3 linked regions of the Rattus norvegicus genome follow. The protein of the gene in region 1 purifies or fractionates together with the protein of each later gene. This does not show direct contact. Links are inferred from orthologs where the notes say so. Each region holds a gene or a part of one and is shown on either strand. Other genes may lie near its edges.

What was found.
Region 2: the proteins of G3bp1 (region 1) and Atxn2l purify together in Homo sapiens (affinity purification with mass spectrometry; 4 studies listed by BioGRID and IntAct, with this or other methods). This does not show direct contact. The link is inferred for Rattus norvegicus from reciprocal best matches to the Homo sapiens genes G3BP1 and ATXN2L.
Region 3: the proteins of G3bp1 (region 1) and Mki67 purify together in Homo sapiens (affinity purification with mass spectrometry; 3 studies listed by BioGRID and IntAct, with this or other methods). This does not show direct contact. The link is inferred for Rattus norvegicus from reciprocal best matches to the Homo sapiens genes G3BP1 and MKI67.

The regions. Positions count from the first base shown.
Region 1 is NC_086028.1:40,105,960-40,112,540, forward strand, and holds part of G3bp1 (ras GTPase-activating protein-binding protein 1), read left to right. Parts: intron 1-2,021; coding exon 2,022-2,112; intron 2,113-3,367; coding exon 3,368-3,461; intron 3,462-5,467; coding exon 5,468-5,666; intron 5,667-6,406; coding exon 6,407-6,508; intron 6,509-6,581. UniProt on the Homo sapiens protein: Protein involved in various processes, such as stress granule formation and innate immunity. Plays an essential role in stress granule formation.
Region 2 is NC_086019.1:190,516,269-190,523,649, reverse strand, and holds the start of Atxn2l (ataxin-2-like protein), read left to right. Parts: upstream 1-3,070; 5' UTR 3,071-3,487; coding exon 3,488-3,780; intron 3,781-4,098; exon of another isoform or gene 4,099-4,190; intron 4,191-4,235; exon of another isoform or gene 4,236-4,367; coding exon of another isoform or gene 4,368-4,402; intron 4,403-4,494; exon of another isoform or gene 4,495-4,509; coding exon of another isoform or gene 4,510-4,855; intron 4,856-5,212; coding exon 5,213-5,249; intron 5,250-5,356; coding exon 5,357-5,413; intron 5,414-5,495; coding exon 5,496-5,567; intron 5,568-5,799; coding exon 5,800-5,950; intron 5,951-6,419; coding exon 6,420-6,544; intron 6,545-7,371; coding exon 7,372-7,381. UniProt on the Homo sapiens protein: Involved in the regulation of stress granule and P-body formation.
Region 3 is NC_086019.1:199,948,452-199,955,672, forward strand, and holds the start of Mki67 (proliferation marker protein Ki-67), read right to left. Parts: upstream 4,143-7,221; 5' UTR 3,897-4,142; coding exon 3,805-3,896; intron 2,029-3,804; coding exon 1,950-2,028; intron 1,862-1,949; coding exon 1,746-1,861; intron 1-1,745. UniProt on the Homo sapiens protein: Protein that associates with the surface of mitotic chromosomes and acts both as a chromosome repellent during early mitosis and chromosome attractant during late mitosis.

The sequences.
Region 1 (6,581 bases):
TCATTCTAGTATATTTAGTGAGTTATGATTCATTAGTAACTGTTTAGCATATATCCCTCATGTCCTGGGGCTAGTCAGTTGGAAACCCTCCATGCTATTCTGTTTTGGTGTGGGCATGGCATGGTGTATGTCCTTGTGCTGACCCTGTCCCTGTTCAAGCCCCATTTGGGAATTAGCTGTTTGTTCCATTCGCGATGCTTCTCTGTAGTAAGGTTTCTGAAGGTACCACAGGGAGATGATGAGGATGACATCTGCTGTGCCTTCTTCAGAAAGAAGGGACAGGAAGCTGATAGGTACAGAATCAGCTCATAAGGAATTAATTTTTAAAAATCCTATTTAGGATTGTAAAATTACTATCATTATCTTTAAAAAAAATTTTGGATTTTTTTTTTCCTTCGGAGCTGGGGACCAAACCCAGGGCCTTGCGCTTGCTAGTAGGCAAGCGCTTTACCACTGAACCAAATCCCCAACCCCTAGGATGTTTTTGTTTTGAGATAGAACCTCATTATGTAGCTCAGACTGTCCTAGAAATCACAGTGACCTCCTTTGTCAGCCTCATAAGTGCTAGAATTTCAGATATTCTAGCACCACCATTGAGGGTGTAGGCAGGATTTAGAGTAAAATTCCAGCTTTAAAATAAATGAATGAATGAATAAATGAATGAATGAATATTTTTGTTTTTGTGTGTATGGGTTTTTTGTCTGCATGCATGTAGTGCCTCCAGAGTCCACAAGAGGATAGTGGATTCCCTGGAACTGGAGATACAGATGGCAGTGAGCCACCATGTGGGTGTCAGGAATTGGGTCTCGGTCCCGGCAAGAGCAGCCAGTGCTCTAAACCACCGAGCCATCTCTCCAGCCCGGTAACTCCACCTTTTGAGAAGCTGAGTCAGGAGGTTTGCAAGCTTTAGGCCAGCCCACAGTAAACCAAGAGCTATCTTGAAGGAGGAAGAGGAAGGAAGAAGAAAGACTTGATCACAAGAAGGAGGAGGTGGGAAGGAAGAAGAGAAAAAAGGAGAGGAGGAGGGAGGAAGAGGAGGAGGACAATGACTACTTGTTAACTTCTCCATATACGAGATTTTACAGCCTATATTATTAATTATAGACTCAGTGTCCCTCTGTCTTTCAAGGGAAGCGTTTATCTCCCTTAAGGAAATGTATTATTGTATAAACTACAGTACACAATACGTCAGTACACAAAGCACTATGGTATGTTTTGATATTCCACTTTTTGTGAATGAAGGGACAGCTTTAGAAATTTTGAACAGCTAATCAGTAAGATGATTGGATTCGGGCTTGTGTGTCTAAATCACAGGAGAGATCTGGGTTACACCACCGTGCACATTTGGATTGATACGGTTAGATTAAGAGTCAGGGCATTTTAAATTCCTGCTAGAGTTGAAACTACTGTGCCTCTGAGTGGTTGAAAATGTTCCGTCTTTTGTATCTTATAAAAGACTTTTCCTTCTTTCCTTCCTTCCTTCCTTCCTTCCTTCCTTCCCTCCTCTTCCTCCCCCTTCTCCTCTCTCTCTCTCTCTCTCTCTCTCTCTCTCTCTCTCTCTCTGTGGGTGACCATCTGGTGGTAAGGATGGGATATTTTAACAATGTCTATGAGGTTCTTTATAATTGCATACAATCGATTTCAAACAGTAGGGCATTCAGTCTTGGCGAAGACATTGGCTGTCTTGAATGCGGTTGGCACTTAGCAATCTGATTAGTAGAGGCCAATCCCTGCCGTGAAACAAGTATTTCTAGACTTGGCTAGATGTCTGCTGGGGCCAAACCCTCCCATAGCTGAGAACCACTGGTACAGTCATGTTTGTTTTTTAAAGGAAGGGTTTGCTTTGACTCACTTTTTTTTTTTTTTTTTTTTTTTTGAGGGTACAGTCCTTCATAGCAGACAGTGGGGGGATATGAGGAGGCTGGCCACATTAATTCCATCAGAAACAGGAAGCAGATAAATACTCATGGTTCAGTGTTTTATAAGTGTGAATAACTGAAAACTTGTTGCTGACATTGCAGGGCTCTGTTGCCAACAAATTCTATGTTCACAATGACATCTTCAGATACCAAGATGAGGTCTTCGGTGGCTTTGTCACAGAGCCTCAAGAGGGTAAGTGTGAAGCTGTTGTCATGGTTACTTGTGTGGCATAAGAGAAGGTTCTTGTTACACTGTATTTTATGAATCACCAGTGTAAGGGGGTTTACAGGGATTTTATTGCTGGGAAGAAACACCACTACCAAGGCAAATCTTAAAAAGCAAACATTTAATTGGCTTAGTTTCAGAGGTTCATTCCATTATCATCATGGCGGAAAGTGTGCAGTGTGTGTAGGCAGACATGGTGCTGGAAGAGCCCAGAGTTCTACGTCTTGATCAGAAGGCATCCCAGAAGAGGCCGATTCTACACAGGGTGGAGCTTGAGCATAGGAGACCTCAGAGTTTCCTATACAGTGACACACTTCCTTCAGCAAGGTCATACCTATTCCAATAAGGCCATACCTTCTAATAGGGCCAAACCTCTTCAAACCACCACACCTAGTTAATGTGAATGAATAAGTTACTCTTGGGTCAGAAGCAGGCCAGTTAGCATGGCTCAGTGCAGAATACCATGCAGAAGGCCTGATGGACCTGTGTTGCACTGAGTGGTGGTAGTGGCATGCAGTCTTTCTAGGGATTCCCCAGTTGTGTGGAATGGGCAGTGGAGGTGCTTGCCTTTGGCTCTGTTCTAAAGCTTTATGCTATTGAAAGTGTAGAAGGTGCCTGGAAGGAAGGGACGACTAGGGTGTAGGATCAGACCTGTGGGGAGATAGTCTTTGTGTGTACTGAGCTCTAAATATATAGACCCATTAGGTGCAGTCCTTCATTCTGTAGGTGGGAGGGCCTGCTGTAGGTGCATCCTGTAAGAGTCCACTGTAACTGTCTTCAGACACACCAGAAGAGGGCATCAGATCTCATTACAGATGGTTGTGAGCCACCATGTGGCTGCTGGGAATTGAACTCAGGACCTCTGGAAGAGCAGTCAGTGCTCTTAACCACTGAGCCATCTCTCCAGCCCTTTATTGTTTGTTTTTGCTCACAGTTTAAGGGGAATAAAGTATCTTGGTGGGGTGGGGAGTTATGATGACAGGAAGGTAAGGCAGGAGTAAACAGCTTTTTTAAAGACTTAAAGAGTTTTTTTTTTTTTTTTTTTTTAAGATTCTGTGTTCTTAATTAAAATACTTAATTTTTCCCTTAAAGTCTGTGTTGTGGCTTTACCAAATTGCCCTGCTTTCTTTACTGTGTTTTTCTTTGTGTCTGTAGTAGAGCCTGTAGATTAAGAAATTTATGAGTATAGAGTGAAGTTATTTTATGTCTCTTCCTTTCTTAGAATCTGAGGAAGAAGTAGAGGAACCTGAAGAAAGACAGCAGTCACCAGAGGTGGTTGCTGATGACTCTGGAACTTTCTATGATCAGACTGTTAGGTAAGGGAACTTCCCTTCACTTGCTCAGGCTTGCAGTAAGAACTTGGATTGTGCTGGAGACAGACCTGTCTTCTAGGCATGAGTTCCAGGAGGTGAGCGGAGTCTGGGTGTCCGTGTCAGTGACAGACAGATTGGTAAGTGTTCACCGAGTCTCGGGTTTGACCTTCAGCAGTGAGTCAGATGTGGACACATTCCTGTTCCCAGTGTTCTAGAGGCTGAACACAGCCTCCATGAGCTCAGCAACAAAACAATAGTAAGTTTTTAGGAAAAGATGTTAACTGTGTTATTTCTGAATAACTAGCAATATGCAACTTTATTTTATAGGATGTACTGTGGAAACTGATGAATGTATATGGTTCAGGTTGCTAATTGTTTTGAAGACAAGTGCTCACCACTTAGCTGAGGCTAAGCCTAGAACATCTGTTTGAGCATTCAAGATGCTGAGATTGTGGGCTCCCACACATGTATCAGAAGAGCTCATTTAACTAGAGTAATAAGATTTCAAACCCGGCTGGAGAGATGGCTCAGCGGTTAAGAGCACTGACTGCTCTTCCAGAGGTCCTGAGTTCAAGTCCCAGCAACCACATGGTGGCTCACCACCATCTGTAATGGGATCTGATGCCTTCTGGTGTATCTGAAGACAGCTACAGTGTACTCACATAAAAAAAAATAAACAAATCTTTAAAAAAAAGATTTCAAAGCCATAAACTGAGTAATAATGAAGTTTTTTAGCCCAGTTCTGTGGCTCAGAGAGAGTGTAGTGACATAGGATGACCTGAGTTAGATTTCTGGAACCCCGTGTTGGAAGGAGAAAATTGACTACTTCAGGTTATTTTCTGACCTCCACATGTGTGCCATGACATGTGTGTCTCAGCCTTCCTCCCCATAATAAGTAAGTGCAATAAAACATTTAAGGCTCTCTTGGCTGGAGAGACTGTTCAGCTGTGGTAAGGTTGCTGGCAGCTCTTGCAGAATATTTGAGTTTAGTTCCCACCACCCACATGGTAGCTTAGAACTTCTGTTAACTCCAGTTACAGGAATCATGGTTTTTTTGGTGCACTGTATACACTTAAAAACATATGTAGACATATAAAAAATACTTTTATTTAAAAGGACAGTTTTGGGCTACATGAGAAAACCCTTGTTAAAAATTTTCTCATAATCACAAATAATGAGTGGTGTTGTCTTAGTCTTTTTATGGTCCTGATAGGCCACTGTGCCATGATTGTTCCATACTGTCAAAACCTGAGTTTCAGTGTTCAGCGCTCCCTTTCAAGTGTCTATCAAGGTGTGGTCACACCTGTTCATTCACCGTAGGCTGAGAGTGAAGAATGTGCTTTCCTGCAGACTTACATACTGAGGTCAGGTATCAGGAGGAAGAACAAGGCCAGGGTCAGCAAGCATTCCTTGGCAGCTGGTGTGGGAATGGAACCACTGTTCTCGAGTCTAACTTGTGTCTTTTCTTCCAGGACTCCTGGAGTGTGTTTTTTGTTAAGGATGTATTTATTATATGTATGTGGGTGTTTTGTGTGCATGTGCTTCTGCACATCAGAAAAGGGCATTGGATCACATAGTTAGCTACCATGTGTGTGCTAGGAATTGAGCTCAGGACCTCAGGAAGAAAGAACAGCCCGTGCTCTTAACTAGTAAGCCACATCTCCACCCCCTTGTGTATTTCTATAGGGCCTGTTTTGTGTGTCTAAAGCCACAGATGATAACATTTACTATATTTTGAGACTGACTGGCCTTACTAGACTTACTGGACCTGTGCTAGGCCTCAGAGAGTTTGATCTTTCTCTAACCCATTCAATACAAGGGTTTTGTGATACATATATTAATAAGCTAATTAATAGGAACTGAATGAGGAACCACTTGATTCTGTTTGATCGTTATGTTCATCAGAATTTAGCAAACAAGCTCTGGTCCTGAGAACTCTCTCTGGAGTCATTAGATGGCTCAAAGTGTCTGGCTGAGTCCTAGAGACCCGTTGAATTTTCCCATGACAGCAATGACTTGGAGGAACATTTAGAGGAGCCTGTTGTGGAACCAGAACCAGAGCCGGAGCCAGAGCCGGAACCGGAACCTGTGTCCGACATTCAAGAGGACAAGCCTGAGCCTGCATTGGAAGAAGCCGCTCCTGAGGATGTGCAGAAGAGCGCCTCCCCGGCCCCGGCAGACGTGGCCCCAGCACAGGAGGACTTGAGGGTACGGATTGTGGCTTAGCACTGTATTGCTGTCTTATTACCTGTTTCTTGTTGCTATGCTAAAGATCAGTCCCAGGTCACGGGGATGGGGGTGTTGTGTGTGCCAGGCATTGGCTGCTACGGAGCTCCTCCTGTTTGGAGACCGGTTCTCATGTTGTCCCAGGCTGGCCTCAAGCTCCAAGCAAAGCTGAGGAGGATCCTCTGGCTCCTATCTCCTGGTTGTTGGGATTATAGTTCTGTGTTGCTGTGCCTGATTATAAGGCACTCAGGACTAAACCCAGGAGTTTGTGCAAAGCTGCTAACTGAGCCACGAACCCACTCTCTGCTAGTTTATTTATTTGAGAAAAGGTTTCTCTGTGTAGCCTGGGCTATTCTGGAACTTGCTCTATAGGCCAAGCTGGCCTTGAACTCAGATATCCACCTACCTCTGCCTTTCAAGTGCTGAACTTAAAAAGGTGTGCCCCCTACTACCCTACCTTCTGCTAGTTTTTTTACATTTTTATTTCTTCATTGTAATTATGTGGTTGACTTTAAGATGATCTAACTATTCAGCCCAGGCTGGCCTATTTTAGTCCCCTAAATATTGGGACTATGGGTGTGCTGCTATGCTTGGCTGCTTCTAAGACTGTTTTAGTACATAGTGTGGGGTGGCAGATGCTTTTAGACTCTCCTGCCTGTGAGTGTTGCAGAGGTAATGGGAAGCAGAAACTAATGGCTCTGATGTGTCCTGTTCTTCCCTAGACATTTTCTTGGGCGTCTGTGACTAGTAAGAACCTTCCTCCCAGTGGGGCTGTTCCAGTGACAGGGACACCACCTCATGTGGTCAAAGTGCCAGCATCACAGGTAAGGGTCTGAATCTAGGACTTTGGGCAGGTTTTGGATGTGAGACTTAACAGGCGTAGAGAATGGGAGGAGC
Region 2 (7,381 bases), on another chromosome or scaffold:
ATATTTGATCACATTATGAACCCAGAGATTGTGTTATATACTGAAAACAGCTGTTTCTAATTGTGGTGGGTTAGCCCACACCTTTAACCCCTCTGGCTGGAATACAGATATAAGGTCAAATGGCTGGGGTTTCTGTTTTTAAAAACAACATATTGGTGCCCCGGCCATTTGATTTATCAAAGAAGAGTCAGGTGCTAGATCCTGGGGTTAAAAACCTGCGAGCTCAAGAGGCAGAGAAAGTGCCCAGCTGACCTTCCTCCTCCAATCCAGATGTCCGAAAGGAAAAAGCCCCTTCTTTCTCCACACTGTCTTAAATACCTTTTACTCAGCTCTCTCCTTTTTACTTCTTTATGCTGAGTCCCTCTCAGCTGGTTACTTAATCAGCCTCTTCACCTGTCATTGACTTCATTTAATCCTGTTGGTCTTTCCAGTTCACAATCTTGGAGTTTCCAATGTGATCAACTATCCTGCACTCTTAACCACTGAGCCATTCCTGCAGCATCCTCACCCCACCATTTTTTTAAAAATTTGAGACAAGGTCTACATAGCCCTGGAATTCACAGAGATCCGTCTGCTTCTTCATCTGAATGCTGGGATTAAAGTTTATGTCACCATGCCCAACTTGCAAGCATGTTTCTAACCTATTATTCTGTGAGCTATCATCTATTATTGACATTTATCTTGTGGTGCAAATTGTCCCGGGTTTGAGCCGCCACCAGAACCCCTTCAAGCTAATTCCTGAATATCTTTTTTTTTTCCTGAATATTTTCTTTCTTGCCATGCTGAGTTTCCAGCACAGTGTGTCACACATGCTAGGCAAATGTCCTAGCACCGAACTAAATCTCAACTTAAGTAATTATTTTCTGACACATCTAGCTCAGGGTGATCTTAAACTTGATATACAGCTGAAGCTTGCCTTGAACTCCTGATTCTCCTGTCTTCACCTCTGAAGTACTGAGATTACAGGCCTGGACCATCAGGTCTAGCCAGAAAATAGTATTTTAAGCTCTGGGCTTTAGGGCTGGGAATTTAGCTCAGTTGGTCAAGTTATTTGGCTAACATGTGAAGCCCTGGGCTTATACCTCAGCACTGCACTGAAGTGGGTATGGTGCACTCGGGAGGTTAGAGCCTAGAGAATTATAAATTATTCCTGGCCATACATCAAGTTTGAAGCTAGCCTTAGATATATGACATCAAACGTGTGTGTGTGTGTGTGTGTGTGTGTGTGTGTGTGTGGCATGGTAGCACAGCACATCCTTTTTATTCAAGTGCTTTAATCCAAGCACTCCAGAGACAGGAGGGTGGATCTCAGAGTCTGAGGCCAGTCTGGTCTACACAGTGAGTTACAGGACAGCCAGGACTACAAAGAGAGACCCTGACTCAAAAAGAAGGGTGGGGGAATGGCTCCTCCGTTTAGAGTGCTGTGCTGGGTTCAGTGTCCAGTACCTATATGGTGTACATACATGCACTCAAGTTTACATATGCATAAAATAAAAATTTAAAACTCTGGGAGCTGGAGAGATGGCTCGGTTTCAGAGGACTTGGCTTTGATTCTTAGCAACCCAACCACATGGCAGCTTACATTTGCTAATTCCAGTCCCAGGGGACCTGATGCCAGCGTCTGGCCTGTGAGGTCAAACACACACACACACACACACACAGAGTACACAAATTTTTATTTTGTACACTGCTACCAAATGATCTATTTATCTTTCCCCTGCTCGCATACCTTTTGGGAAGTGTGTGCCAAGTCTCACCTGACCTGCTGGCCTTAAACTAAATATGTAGGGATGACTTTAATTAATTCCATTTTTCTGCCTCCAATGGGTTATTAATCTAAATGTAGATTTGGACTCATCTATACAACTATGTTCAGTTTGTTAGTGTCCACCCAATCCTATATTTAATTTTTGAATTGTGTTCACCAATAGTAGGATTTTAGGTTAACATTCCATGACAAAACCTGGGTGTGATGATGTATGTCTTTTTTTTTTTTTTTGGTTCTTTTTTTCGGAGCTGGGGACTGAACCCAGGGCCTTGCGCTTCCTAGGTAAGCGCTCTACCACTGAGCTAAATCCCCAGCCCCGATGATGTATGTCTTAATCCTAGCACTTAGGAAGAAGGCAGACAGATCTCTGTAAGTTTAAGACCACCCTGGTTGGCACAGGGAGGTGAAAGCCAGCTAAAGGAAATAGTGAGACTTTCAGGCTCCATCCAAGCTGTCAGATCTATTCCACCTGTATAGAAATCCATTTTCCTGCTCTGTTTTACCAAGTACCTCTGGTCAAATTATATAAATCTTGCACTACTTTGAGCTTTGAGTTTCTTAGTTACCCTTGTGCCCAAAGCATGGACCAATGTTCAACTTGTCTTCCTTCTGAAACAAGGTCTGCCCAGCTGACCTGGAACTTATATAATCCAGGCTGGCCTCAAACTTCTGATCCTCCTACCCTTCCTTCCTAGTGCTGGGATTGAAGTTGTGAACCACCACAGCTGCCCTCATTTTGAATGACGGCTGCCTTTATAGGCAAGCATTGTACCACGATTCTCCGACAGTGTCTTGCTATGCAGCCTGGGCTGGGTTCTGTAATATACTCTTAGAAGTCTAGCCTCCAGACTGCCTGTATTGTTACTGTTCTGGATTTCACTATCCCAGAAAAAGTCACTGAATTTCAGTTTCAAATTGGACACCTTTGTTAGGATGCACTTACGCTCAAGTAGTCATTCTAATGCTCATTAATATTCTAAAGGAGGTAAGATGGAGAACAGCATATTTAAAAACCCACCTGCCTTAAAGTTACCTGTACTAGGTTTGTCCTAGGGTTTTTTTTTTTTTTTTTTTTTTTTTTGGCCCACGAGACTCCGCCCACCGCTCACCCAGTGGCGGAAGAACCTCACGCTACGACGTGATACCTCACACCACCGCGGAGACTTTCTGACGTTACGCTTGTGGCGTGGGAGGGGCGGGTCCACCGGCACTTCCCCTTCCTGGCTTTGGCCCCTCCCACACTCGTTGTGAAGCAACCGCGGCCGCCAGTATTTAAGGTGGCTCGGAACCTAGAGGTGCTCTAGGCGCCTGCGCGGCTCCTTTTCCGCCCTAAGGGCTAGACCAGTCTGAGCCACAACTGGAGCCTCTTCTGCTTTCCGGAACTAACCGCCTGGCGGCGCTCCCCGCGCCCCTCCCCCGCCGGCGCTTCCGCCCGCGCTCCTCCCTCTCTCCTTCTCCAGCGACGCGCACGCGCGCCAAGCCGGCTCGCGCCCTCTCGCTATCCACCGGCCCGCGACATCCCCCCCTCCCCTTCCGCCTCGCGGCGCTTCCTCGCGCCGCCGTCTTCTCAATCCACCCCTGACACCGCGGGGCTCCCCCCGCCCGCCAACGGCGGGTCCCCTGCTTGGCGATCTCTCTCGCTTCCCGCGCTCTCCAGCAGGGGCCCAGCCTCAGGCCCTCTTTCCCTTCCCTCTAATTTCTCTTCCGGACGCTGCCATCATGTTGAAGCCTCAGCCGCCACAACAGACCTCCCAGCCCCAGCAGCCGCCCCCCACGCAACAGGCCGTGGCTCGCCGGCCTCCCGGCGGGACTAGCCCTCCCAACGGCGGCCTCCCGGGACCGCTGCCCGCTACCGCGGCTCCCCCGGGGCCTCCCACAGTGGTCTCTCCGTGCCTGGGGCCTGCAGCCGCTGCCGGCAGCGGGCTCCGCCGCGGAGCCGAAAGCATCTTGGCGGCGCCAGCGCCGCAGCAGCATCAAGAACGGCCAGGGGCAGTGGCTATCGGCAGCGTCAGGTGAGAACGGGACTCCTGGCTGGGGAGAGCCCAGGTGGCAGCGACTCGGCTTTGGCGGAGGCGCGCCGGGGCTTGGCGCTGTTGAGGGGCTCTTAGGGCCCAGAACCCCGTGAAGGAGGGGGTAGACCCTCGTGCCAACAGGTCGGAGAGAAAGATCTCCGGGCGGTCTCCAGGAGCCTGGGGGCAGTGCTCGGCTCTCTGGGCCTAGTCACCGCTTGGGGTCTGGGCCCTGAGGGGAGGCGGGGCGCGTCCCGCCAGCTCCGTCGGAAAAGGGTGTTGGGGGGGTTGAGGAGGTGATGGGGTCCCCAGCTCCATTACCACGGAGGATCTCGCGGTCCCCGGTTTCAGCCAATGGGGAGTCAGCTGCATGAAGGGGTCCCCGGCTGTAGCCAATAGAGGGGGGGCGCGCGGCCCACAGTTTGACCAATGGGAAGGGAGGGACTTGGGAGCAGATTGTTCCCTCCTCTTCCCGGTGTAGCCAGTAAGAGGGGAACGGAGTGGGCGGGGGCGCGGAAGCAGCGGCTACTGGGAAGACTGCAGACTGGGAAGCTCCTGCGCGCGCGCTCCCTGCCCGTACGTGCGCGCGGATGCTGTCTTATGACTCGGGCATTGGCTTGCCCCGGTAACACGTAGAGCAAAGACTGAGGAGGGGGGGGTTGGTTGGAGGGTTTAGGGGCGTCTGGTGTTGGTGAGTGAGGAGTGGGTGCCCTCGGTTTTCTTGGTGTGTCAATGCGATTAGAAGCAGCCACTAGACGCAGGCGCAGTGGCTTCTGTTCTAGAGCGGGTGGAGGGCTATGGGCTTTAGTGCGCAGGCGCATACCGGGCGAGGCATCCCGGTGGATGGTTTTTGCGGCTGCGCGGTCCCCCAGCCCCGCCAACGGCCCCCTCCTCGCCCTCCTCAACTGCCGGTTACATCAGCCGTCGAGGAGCTGTGTTACCTGGCGATTGGGGATCCTTTCAGAGTGGGTAACAGGCTGAATGAAAATAATGAGGGCGAAAGGGTGGGGTGTGGAGAGTATACCCCTCCTGGGATTTGGAATCCAAGGCTGCTGAAAGTGCTTTTTTCCTTTGGGAGGTAATGTGTCTAAGCTCAGTAGTGCTGCATTTGGGGTGCCCGAGCTTTCACCTTCACAACTGAATTGGGCTGTTGGTTTACAAATACAGCAGTGTTTTATGGGAAGAGTGAAGTCCCCTTGGAGGAAGTCAGGTTGTATTGCATTGGCTGTTAGCCGCATTTGACAGCTATTGTTTATTGAATTTTTTGTTGGCTTTTTAAAATCTTGAATTTGGAGAAAATGTTTTAGCAAGTAATTCCTGCTTTCCTCTTTAATGTGAGCATTTGTTAATCAGCCCGTAGCCTAAATCAGCAAGTTGACATGGTACATTGTTCTAGGGTTCACTGTTAATTAAAACTAGTTTCTCTCTTTAACAGGGGACAGACCACCGGAAAGGGACCCCCACAGTCACCAGTGAGTGCCTTTTTTTCCTCTTGTAAAGACTCAGAAGACATAGGGTGGGACAGTCTGGGAAGAAAGAGTATTCACCTGCTGCCCTTTGCTTTTTTCTTGTGTGACAGGTGTTTGAAGGTGTCTATAACAATTCCAGGATGCTGCATTTCCTGACAGCTGTAGTGGTAAGTGAGAGCTTTAACGTTGGGTGTCTGAGGAATATGCTGTTTCAGTTTTTTAAAGTGACTTAATCTTTCACCTTGCTAGGGTTCTACCTGTGATGTAAAAGTGAAAAATGGCACCACTTATGAGGGCATTTTCAAGACGCTGAGCTCAAAGGTCAGTGTACTCAAATCGTGGAGTTTCTGAAGCTGTGTATGAGAGTGCAATTGAGGTTTGTGTAGGGTTGAGAGCAGGCAGTTTTGAGGCTTTTGCTAAGTTCTCTGGCTGATGTTGAGAAATGCAGAACAACATGAGAATTTGATGTTGAAAGACTAGAAAGCTTTGAGAGAAGCCATCTTTTCCTCCCTTTGATACTGACCCTGGAATGTTGGGAATGGGGCTTTTGTAGTTTGAACTGGCAGTAGATGCGGTACATCGGAAAGCCTCTGAGCCAGCAGGTGGGCCTCGTCGGGAAGACATTGTGGACACCATGGTGTTTAAACCAAGTGATGTTCTGCTTGTCCACTTCCGAAATGTTGACTTCAATTATGCTACTAAAGGTATTGTTCTATACTGTTGTGCCAAGAAACTGAGTAGAGGAAGCCCATGGGTTGGACAAATTGGCTTGATTTATCTTTTTCAGTACGTTTTTCAGTAGCGATGACTTGAGTTCTTGAAAACATCTTGATACCTAATAGAGTCCAATGAATGTGACTAGTGGTGTAGATACTCCTGTTTTCCTGTTTCATGCTTTCACCTTTAGCATTTGGATTATTAGATTGGGCCTTTTTTGTTTGTTTTGAGTGTCTTTGTATATATGGCTAGCCTCCTTAGGCTTGGATTGCCTCTGCTTCCTGAGTGCTGGAATTACCAGCATTCACCATCCCATCTAGATCTGTTTCACTAGTCTTACCTGCTCCCATAAAACTAAATCTGGTGTTTCTTTCTTTGTGTTAAACCACTTGGGGTTGGGAATGAGGGTGAGAAGGGGGTGCATCACCTAACCCTCTTTCTCACCTTGGCCAACAGACAAGTTCACTGACTCAGCCATTGCCATGAACTCTAAGGTGAATGGAGAACACAAAGAGAAGGTGCTTCAGCGTTGGGAGGGCGGTGACAGCAACAGTGATGACTACGATCTGGAATCCGATATGGTATGTTCTCTGCTCCTGAGAGCAGGCGGGCTGAGTTGTGGTTGGCATGGGTTGTTGATGTGGACAGTCATTATTTTTTGTGGGGTGTTCGTGTTTGGAGGAGAGTGTTGTTCATTTTTGTTTTAGGGTCTGTTTTGGAAAGAAGGGTAGAAGAGGATGGGTCAGTTTTCCCATCCTCTGCATTGAAAACTGTTAACCTTTCTCTATGGCAGCACTTGTTATTGTAGTAAAAAGTCTTAAGTTGAGCATGGTATAACCCATACCCTCTAATCCAGCCTTGGGGAAGTTGAGGCAGAAGAATTGTGAGTTCCCAAACAGTCTGGACTATATAACAAAAAGTCTATCTTTATAAAAGCCGAGGAGAGAAGTGGTGCTGTGTAGGACTGTGCTTCTTCACACTGCTACCTCTGAGCTTAGGTATAAATTAAGCTGACAAGGTGGGTCAGCAGCTAAAGGTGCCTGCCACCACGCCAAGTGATGGAAAGGAACAGACTCCTGTAGATCGTCCCCAGACTTTGACTCACGTGCCTACCACACCACAGGAACAAACCTACAGAAGTAAAGGAAAAAAGGGTTTTTGAGTTTCTTTTTTTGAAAAAGCCATGATAGCCCCTGTAATTCCAGTTTAGAATGTGAAAACAAGAGGACCAAGGACTCGAGGCAGTCCTTCCTTGCAATTAGAACACAAGACCATTTCTCAAAAACGTCTTGTTAATAGATGCATGTCAGTGTGTTCAGTTTCCACAGGAGTTTTTAACTTGGTGGAGGCGAAATGGCATGCTATCTTCCCTTTTTTTACTGAGTTCTAAACATTCTTGTTCTCGTAGTCTAATGGAT
Region 3 (7,221 bases), on another chromosome or scaffold:
GTAGTTGAGGAATACAGGAAATTTTTAAATACAGGAAATGGGGGGAGGGCATTTGATCACAAAGAAAGTCTTGGCAGATTTCTACTAGAAATCACTCAAATTCTCAAGAATGACTGAACTGTGAATATTCTTACATGCTACAGTACATACTGTGCTATGTTAATAAAATACCTACGCTGTGAGAAGAAACAAGCCAAAGACATCCAACATGCTATAAACCACACACGAGAACATTAGTCAGACATAAACACACAAAGTTTTATGCTAACTATAGTGTTTAGAGTCCCACATGCAAGCATAATGTTATTGCGCCCTGTGTAAAGATTATCATTGTATTTTTCCAATGCTGATTTCTGTGCCCCCATTTCTGGTTGCAAACCTTATTCTAAGACTCTGCTGTCTCTATGTTGTATAAGCATCACTCCCCAATTATTTCTTGATTAGTCAACAAAGCTAGTTGATCAGCCAGTGACTGAGAAAGGGAGACAATAGGGTTGAACTTCCATCTAGCCAGGGGAGGAGAAAAAGAGAGGAAAGAGTGGGGGAAGAGGGGAGGAGAAGGGAAGGGAAAGAAGGGGAGGGAAAAGAAGGAAAAGAAAAGAAAGGAGAGGAGAGGAGAGAGAGGAAGAGACACGTGAGGATTAGGCAATCTGAGAGTCCAGAGGCACCATGAGAAACACCTGGAGCCCAGAGAGTCCAATCAGTAGTACCAAATGCAAATATCACTGGAATTTTGCTTGGGAGGTAGACAGATTAGCATAGAGAACTAAAATAGAGTAATATCGCTCAGTTGTTATACCCTTAAAGCTTATTAAATAAATATAGTAGTCCAGTCTCAATTATTTGGGAGCTATCTGGGTTAAAAGAAAAACACAGCAACACACTTATTAAAATGCCACTAACACCCACAAACAGACGGCAAAACTCCAAAGACACCTCTCTCTCTCTCACAGTCACCATGGTGGCTTACTAAGAGAAAAGCTATGATTAGAGAGAACACACACACACACACACACACACACACACACACACACACACACACAAAGGTGTAGAATTTTCCCTTGTGACTTGGCTGTGGTGTATTAGTCAGCTAGGACTCCCACAATTAAAATAGATGGAGTACCTTAAATAACAGAAATTTGCTGCTCACAATTCTGGCTGGAAGTCCAAGTCCAAGGCATCTGTAGGAATGGCTCCTCTGGGCCTCCTGAACTGGCAGCCTCCTTCCTGTCTCTTCACAGCACTTCACCTCAGTGTGATTGTTCCCCTGTATGCTAATCTTTCCTTATTATAATGACATCAGTCCTGGGTTTGGACGAAGCCTGATTGCCTCAGTTTAACAAAATTGTTCTTTAAGAACCAAACGTATTCTCTAAGGGACTAGGAGCTAGGAACTTTAAGACGTGCCATCAACAACACTGGGAAAGCAAAGACAGGACATTGGGCTTGGGTGTCTAGGCAATCTAGCCTAAGCCAGTTAGAGACCCTGTTTGAAAAAGGAGAGAAAAACTGACCCAAATTCTCAGGACCACACCTAATGTTGTCCTCTATTCTCCACAGGCACAGGTCCAAGCACCGGCATATGTACACACACACACACACACACACATACACACACACACACACCCCACATCCTGTCAGACATTTCCAACATCCATCAACACCAAAGAAGGATCAACGAAGGTACTAGTTTGTGATTAAAGAAAACACAGTATTCAGAATTATTTCAGTTAGTTTTCACCCACCTAAAGGAGCGGTCAATGATTGTTATTATGTCTCCATGTTTCAGCTGCACAGGCTCATTTATAATAGTGCCATTTACTTGAGTTGGATTGGCGGAACTGAAATTATATAATATTGCCTACAAGGAGAGAGGAGACGCAAACACTAAGGTCTTGCTTCAAGTCAACTTCAAAAGCTTTAAGAGTTGATTTCCAAAGCCAACTTACCTCTTGTTCTTTGACTTCAATTTTGCAATGTTTTTTTGACACTACAGGCAGCTGTATACGAATGTCACATTCAATACTCCTTAATACAAAAAAAAGTAAGGGTTTTTATGAAGGTACAACTAAAAAAGAAATGCTCAAAATTTCAAATGAACAGAATTTGACTAGTATGTTTAGACTATAAATGTAACAACACAAGGACTGACAAGATTATCATGGGCAGTGCAAACAACGCTCACAAGTATTGCCAAGGAAGCCATAAAAGATCATTAAGACTTCTAGTACTTCAGAATGATTATATTAGAAAATACCAGAACACACAACCAATTACTTTTCATACAAGTAGTTATAATTACAAGACACGTATAAAAGAGAACTTTATATCCGTTCAGGAGAACTTCCTGATGTGTTTATAACAATATGGGTGTTTAAGGGCACAGAAGGAACTAGCATAAAATGTGCCGTGGGTAATCAATGCCTCAGTTTCTTCATACACAAAAGGTCTATACCAGCACCTGTGTTGCTATTCAGTTATAACTGTGTATGTCACTGGCACAGTTAATCCATGTGAGTTTTTAAGTTGTTGTTTTAAAACCACACCAAGTTGACAGACTCAGACGTCCTCACAATACAAACACTAATCCGCAAACAGTATCTAGATTAGAACATCTTTCTAGAAAGCTAGCACAGTGGTGGCACAGCACAGAAGGGACGATCCTAACTCAGTCAAAACCAGGAATTTCACTGATAGCTCCATCATGAACATTAAAGTCAGAACATACCCTACATACTGTTTTCCTATGAACCTCTGGCGTCTAAGTATATCTCTTACAATAAATAGCACACAACCAAATGCAAATTATTAACATTTTTAAAACTTGTTAAAAGTATATTTAAGTAATATTGCAGAATAATCAAAATGAATGACACCTGTGACAAGAATATTTACTTTCTTCTTTTAAACAACAACAGCTATAGAAATTTCCTTACTCTTACAGCTTCCTTACTGTCAAGAAAACAGAGGTTTTGGATATCAAAACACCAGGCAGAGAGACTCTATGTTGGAACCCAGTTTCACTGAGCAGAAAGAGTACCGCAATGCATACTACATACAGAATGCCACAGATATTCTAGATCAGATAATTCCTCAAGCGCTGATTCCTGTCAAATACACCATGTGTCTGTCCTCAGCAATACTAGTGGCAGATACCTCTCCCAGGATGATATGAAAATCTGTCACCAGACTCTGCCAAATGTCTGAAAACTACCATTCGTGCCTGAACTCCATCATCCTACCAGACACTCACCCTGTGTCACACACTGACTTAAGTGTCAGGCGCCATATGGAACCCTGGGGATGTAATCACTAACATGGCATCCCTTGCCTTGGAATTTTAGTCTACTGGGAGACAAACAAAAATCTAAAACCTAGTCACCAACCTGCATGGTGTTAGAAAAGACGAGCTTTCTTTAAATCACATTCTCAGGTAACATTTCAAAAGCGGCAGAAACTGCTTTAAGGGTCAAAGTTTGCAAAAGTGGCAACGCAAGCAACCGCCTGGAAGGCCTCAGGGTAGATTGCTATCCAGGGGAGGGAAAGAGGGGATTCTCCCAGAGCACCGGAGCAAGGCTCTCCTATCTTCACCTTTCCAGAAACTTCCAGAGCCACAGCTGGCTGCCTGAGAGTGGCAATGTGGGAGTTGCGGGACACCGATGTCAGCTTCGCGTCTACTTGGGAAGTTCTCAGTGTGTGAGCGTGACTTCCGAAAATGCTACAGGGGCAGCTCTGTCAAACGCAAAGGGCGGTAGGGGCGCGGGGTCGCTGCCCGCGGTCACCTCGGCCCCTGCGCGAACTCACCTTCCAAACAGGCAGGAGCTGAGGCTCAGCGGGAAGTGTGCGCCGTCATCGCCGCTCCGTTTGATGGTGACCAGGCGAGCTGAGGACGCCATGGTCCGCCCGGCCGTCAGTCCGGAGTCAGTGACTGCGGCCGAGGGCGGAGTAGCCCCTCTGTGAAGCTCGCCGTCTCGCCGCCCGGCCGCTCCTCAGCTGGTTCTGACAGCGAAAGTTAGCTCTGCCCGCGGCTCACCGGGTGCAGCCCGCGTCAGAACCCTCGGCTCCTCAGCCGCGGAGGTCCGACCACGGCCACCCGCGGCCTTCGCTCCGCCCCGACCCGCACACCCGCCGCCCGCCGCCCGCGTCCCTGGTACACACGGCCGGCCGCCCGCCCGCCCGTCCCGAGTGTCCTCCAAGGCGGTTCCGCGCCAAGGCTGCCCGCCGTGCCCGCCCAATTCAAACGAAAACGGCGGTTCAAATTCTGGCGCTAAGTGCTGCGATTGGGCCATACGGGCAGCGAGAGACCAATGGAAAGGGCGACATAGGATTGGGGAAGTCCAGAGGTGGAGCCAGGATGCGGGCCTGGTGGTGAGGCGGAGCCGGACAAGTGGGAGGGGCCAGGCCGGTAGGCGGGGCTGGGCCCGGAACTGGCCGGAGAAGCGGGACCAGGCCAGAGTTACGTGCAGGAAGGCGGGCCCCCGAGGCTTTCGTAGGCAGAGCGTCCCAGATTTTCAGCGGCAGGGAAACAAGCAAGGCTATCTGTAAAAAGCTACCTATACGCCGCCTCCCCTGGAATCAAACACCAGCAACGCCGTGTCTTGCTCAGCACTAGAAGCTTCATATTTTAAAAATTAAAGCCCTTCCTCTGCAGTTTCCTCATCACCGCATGCCTTTTCAGTGTCCCACAAACTGTTCTTTAAAACGTGGAGGATATTACATTCATCCTACAGTCTCCCTGCTTAGTGAACGCGGAGGCAGTGGCACGGTTTTTCCAAAACCATAAAGAGTTATTGCTCAGCACAGTTAAGTTTGCAATGCGTTGCTGCTTCGGGGTGGAGGTGAGGGGAATACCAGTTGAAGTAACCTGTGCAAGACTACACCTGCAGGGCTGGGGATTTAGCTCAGTGGTAGAGAGCTTACCTAGGAAGCGCAAGGCCCTGGGTTCGGTCCCCAGCTCCGAAAAAAAGAACAAAAAAAAAAAAAAAAAAAAGAAGACTACACCTGCAAATCCTAAGATAGGGATCCTGGGGCACCAGTTGGGGTTTACCAGGACAAGTGCCAGGCAGATGAATTCATGCTTTGCTGTTCTCTTTTTTTCATCCTCCCTCCTGTTTCTGGATCAGCGTACTTCCAGTAGGGTGTTGTGAAAATTCCACTCCTGGGGCAATATAACCAATATCTATCTACCCTCTCCTCAAGGTCTCAAGGACAAGCCTTAAGTATGAAGCCACCAAATTTCACCCTGGGAAACCAGTGTATATTAGAGCATCCTGACCCAGGCAGGCTGATTAGTTATAGCATACCTGTTGGCCTCCACACCTAAACCTCTGGTCAGGACTTCAAAGATATATTTAGGGTGTCATTGGGCTTCTTTGTTTCTATTCACTATGTGTCCACACTGTGTCTTTCACTGTCACCTCTTTAATTAGTCTGTTGAGGATGGGTGGTCCAGCCTGCCTTGTTAGGGCTGTCAGGATCCAAACTTTACTGTAGCCACTTGGGCATTACCTTCTCATCCCCAAACATAAGCAATGCACCTAATAAGGGCATCTCACGATGTCATCTACCAAATGCAATTAAGATTTAAAAAAAGGCAAATCACCACACACACACACACACACACACACACACAGAGATATTTAAAAAGCAAATCAGTTCATACACACATACATACACATATATCATAAATGTGTATAAATGTGTGTGTCTGTGTCTGAACATGCAGATATGAGTACAGGTAACCTCTGTATCATAGAAGAGAGCATTGGATCTCCCAGGGCTAGAGTTACGGGCAGTTGTGAGCCTCCTGAAGTAGCTAATGAGGCCTGAACTCAGTTTTTCTGCAAGAGCAGTGAGACCTCATAACCACTGTGCCATCTCTCCAGCCCTCGTTTCATATATTTTTAATTGTTTTTTAAATGTGCTTAAAATTTAAGCTTTATGCTTTGTTTTAAATTATAGCCTTGAGGAACGTAACGTTAAGAGCCACAGCGTCTTCGCCACTTTTCCATTGCCATGACCAAACACCGTGACCAAGGCAACGTATAAGAAAAATGTTTAACTTGGGGCTCACAGTTCCAGGGAGTTAAGAGACCATCATGGTGGGGAGCATGCAGGCAGGCAGCTAGGCATGGCCCTGAAGAAGTAGCTAGGGACTTATATCTGATCCACAAATGCAAATGCAAAGCACATAAAAGAGAGAAAGAGAGAGAGAGAGAGAGAGAGAGAGAGAGAGAGAGAGAGAGAGAGCGCTCAGGATGGTGTAGATAATTTAAACGTCAAAGCCCATCCCCAATGACATACTTCCTCCAACAGAGCCAGAGCTCCCAACCCTTCCCCCAATGGCTCTACCAACTGGCAACCAAGCATTTAAATATATGAGCCTATAGGGGCCATGTCATTGAAGCCCCCTCCCACCCATGGGATCATATGAAAAGCCTTTGTAAGGCTACCTAGGCATTATAAAAACACCCTATACTCTCTTCCTCATTCCTCACTTTAAAGCATACATTCTCACTCATCTTCAACTCTTTAGTCTCACTTCCCTCCTGCTCATCCAGAAGTTCTTTTCAGCAACATTACCAAAGAAAGCGAGGGGTGGGGGTGCGGGGATGTGGAAGGGGGGGTCCTGTTGATAGCGGCTCTGCTGGGCTTTGTCTGCCCAACATTGCTGACACCTGCACCAGTAGAGAGGACATGCGAAGTCTTACCTCATCCCCCATCTCCTCACCACTGTCACTGGGCTCCCTTCAGCTTCTCTTCCCAACACAGACAAAATATTTTACTGGGAAAGTAAGATGGAGGGAGGGGCGCTGTGGTATCCACCTGTTGGGCCACAAGAGGACTGGTGCCCACCCTGCACCACCACCACCTGATTTCTCTCTTCCTGCCCAAACTCCTTGCTGCTCCAGGATCCAGGCCCTCTGGCAGGGATCCACCTCCCAGTCCCCCCTTTCAGATCACTCCACAGATCCTCACCAGGTCTGCAGTGCTCCTCTCACTAATGCCCTACTCTCCAGCAGTATTCTGTCCCCTGGACTTGCATGTGGCTCTTTGGGGAACAGGGCTCTCATTAGGGCAACCTTTCCAAAGCACGGATGGGACCGTAATCCTTGTTTCTCTCAAATTCTGTTACTGTTTCTCCACTTGTTTTGTCTCAGCACTGACAAGGATGTGATGCAATCCCGATGACCTCTAGAGCTCAGTGCAGACTCTTCTGTA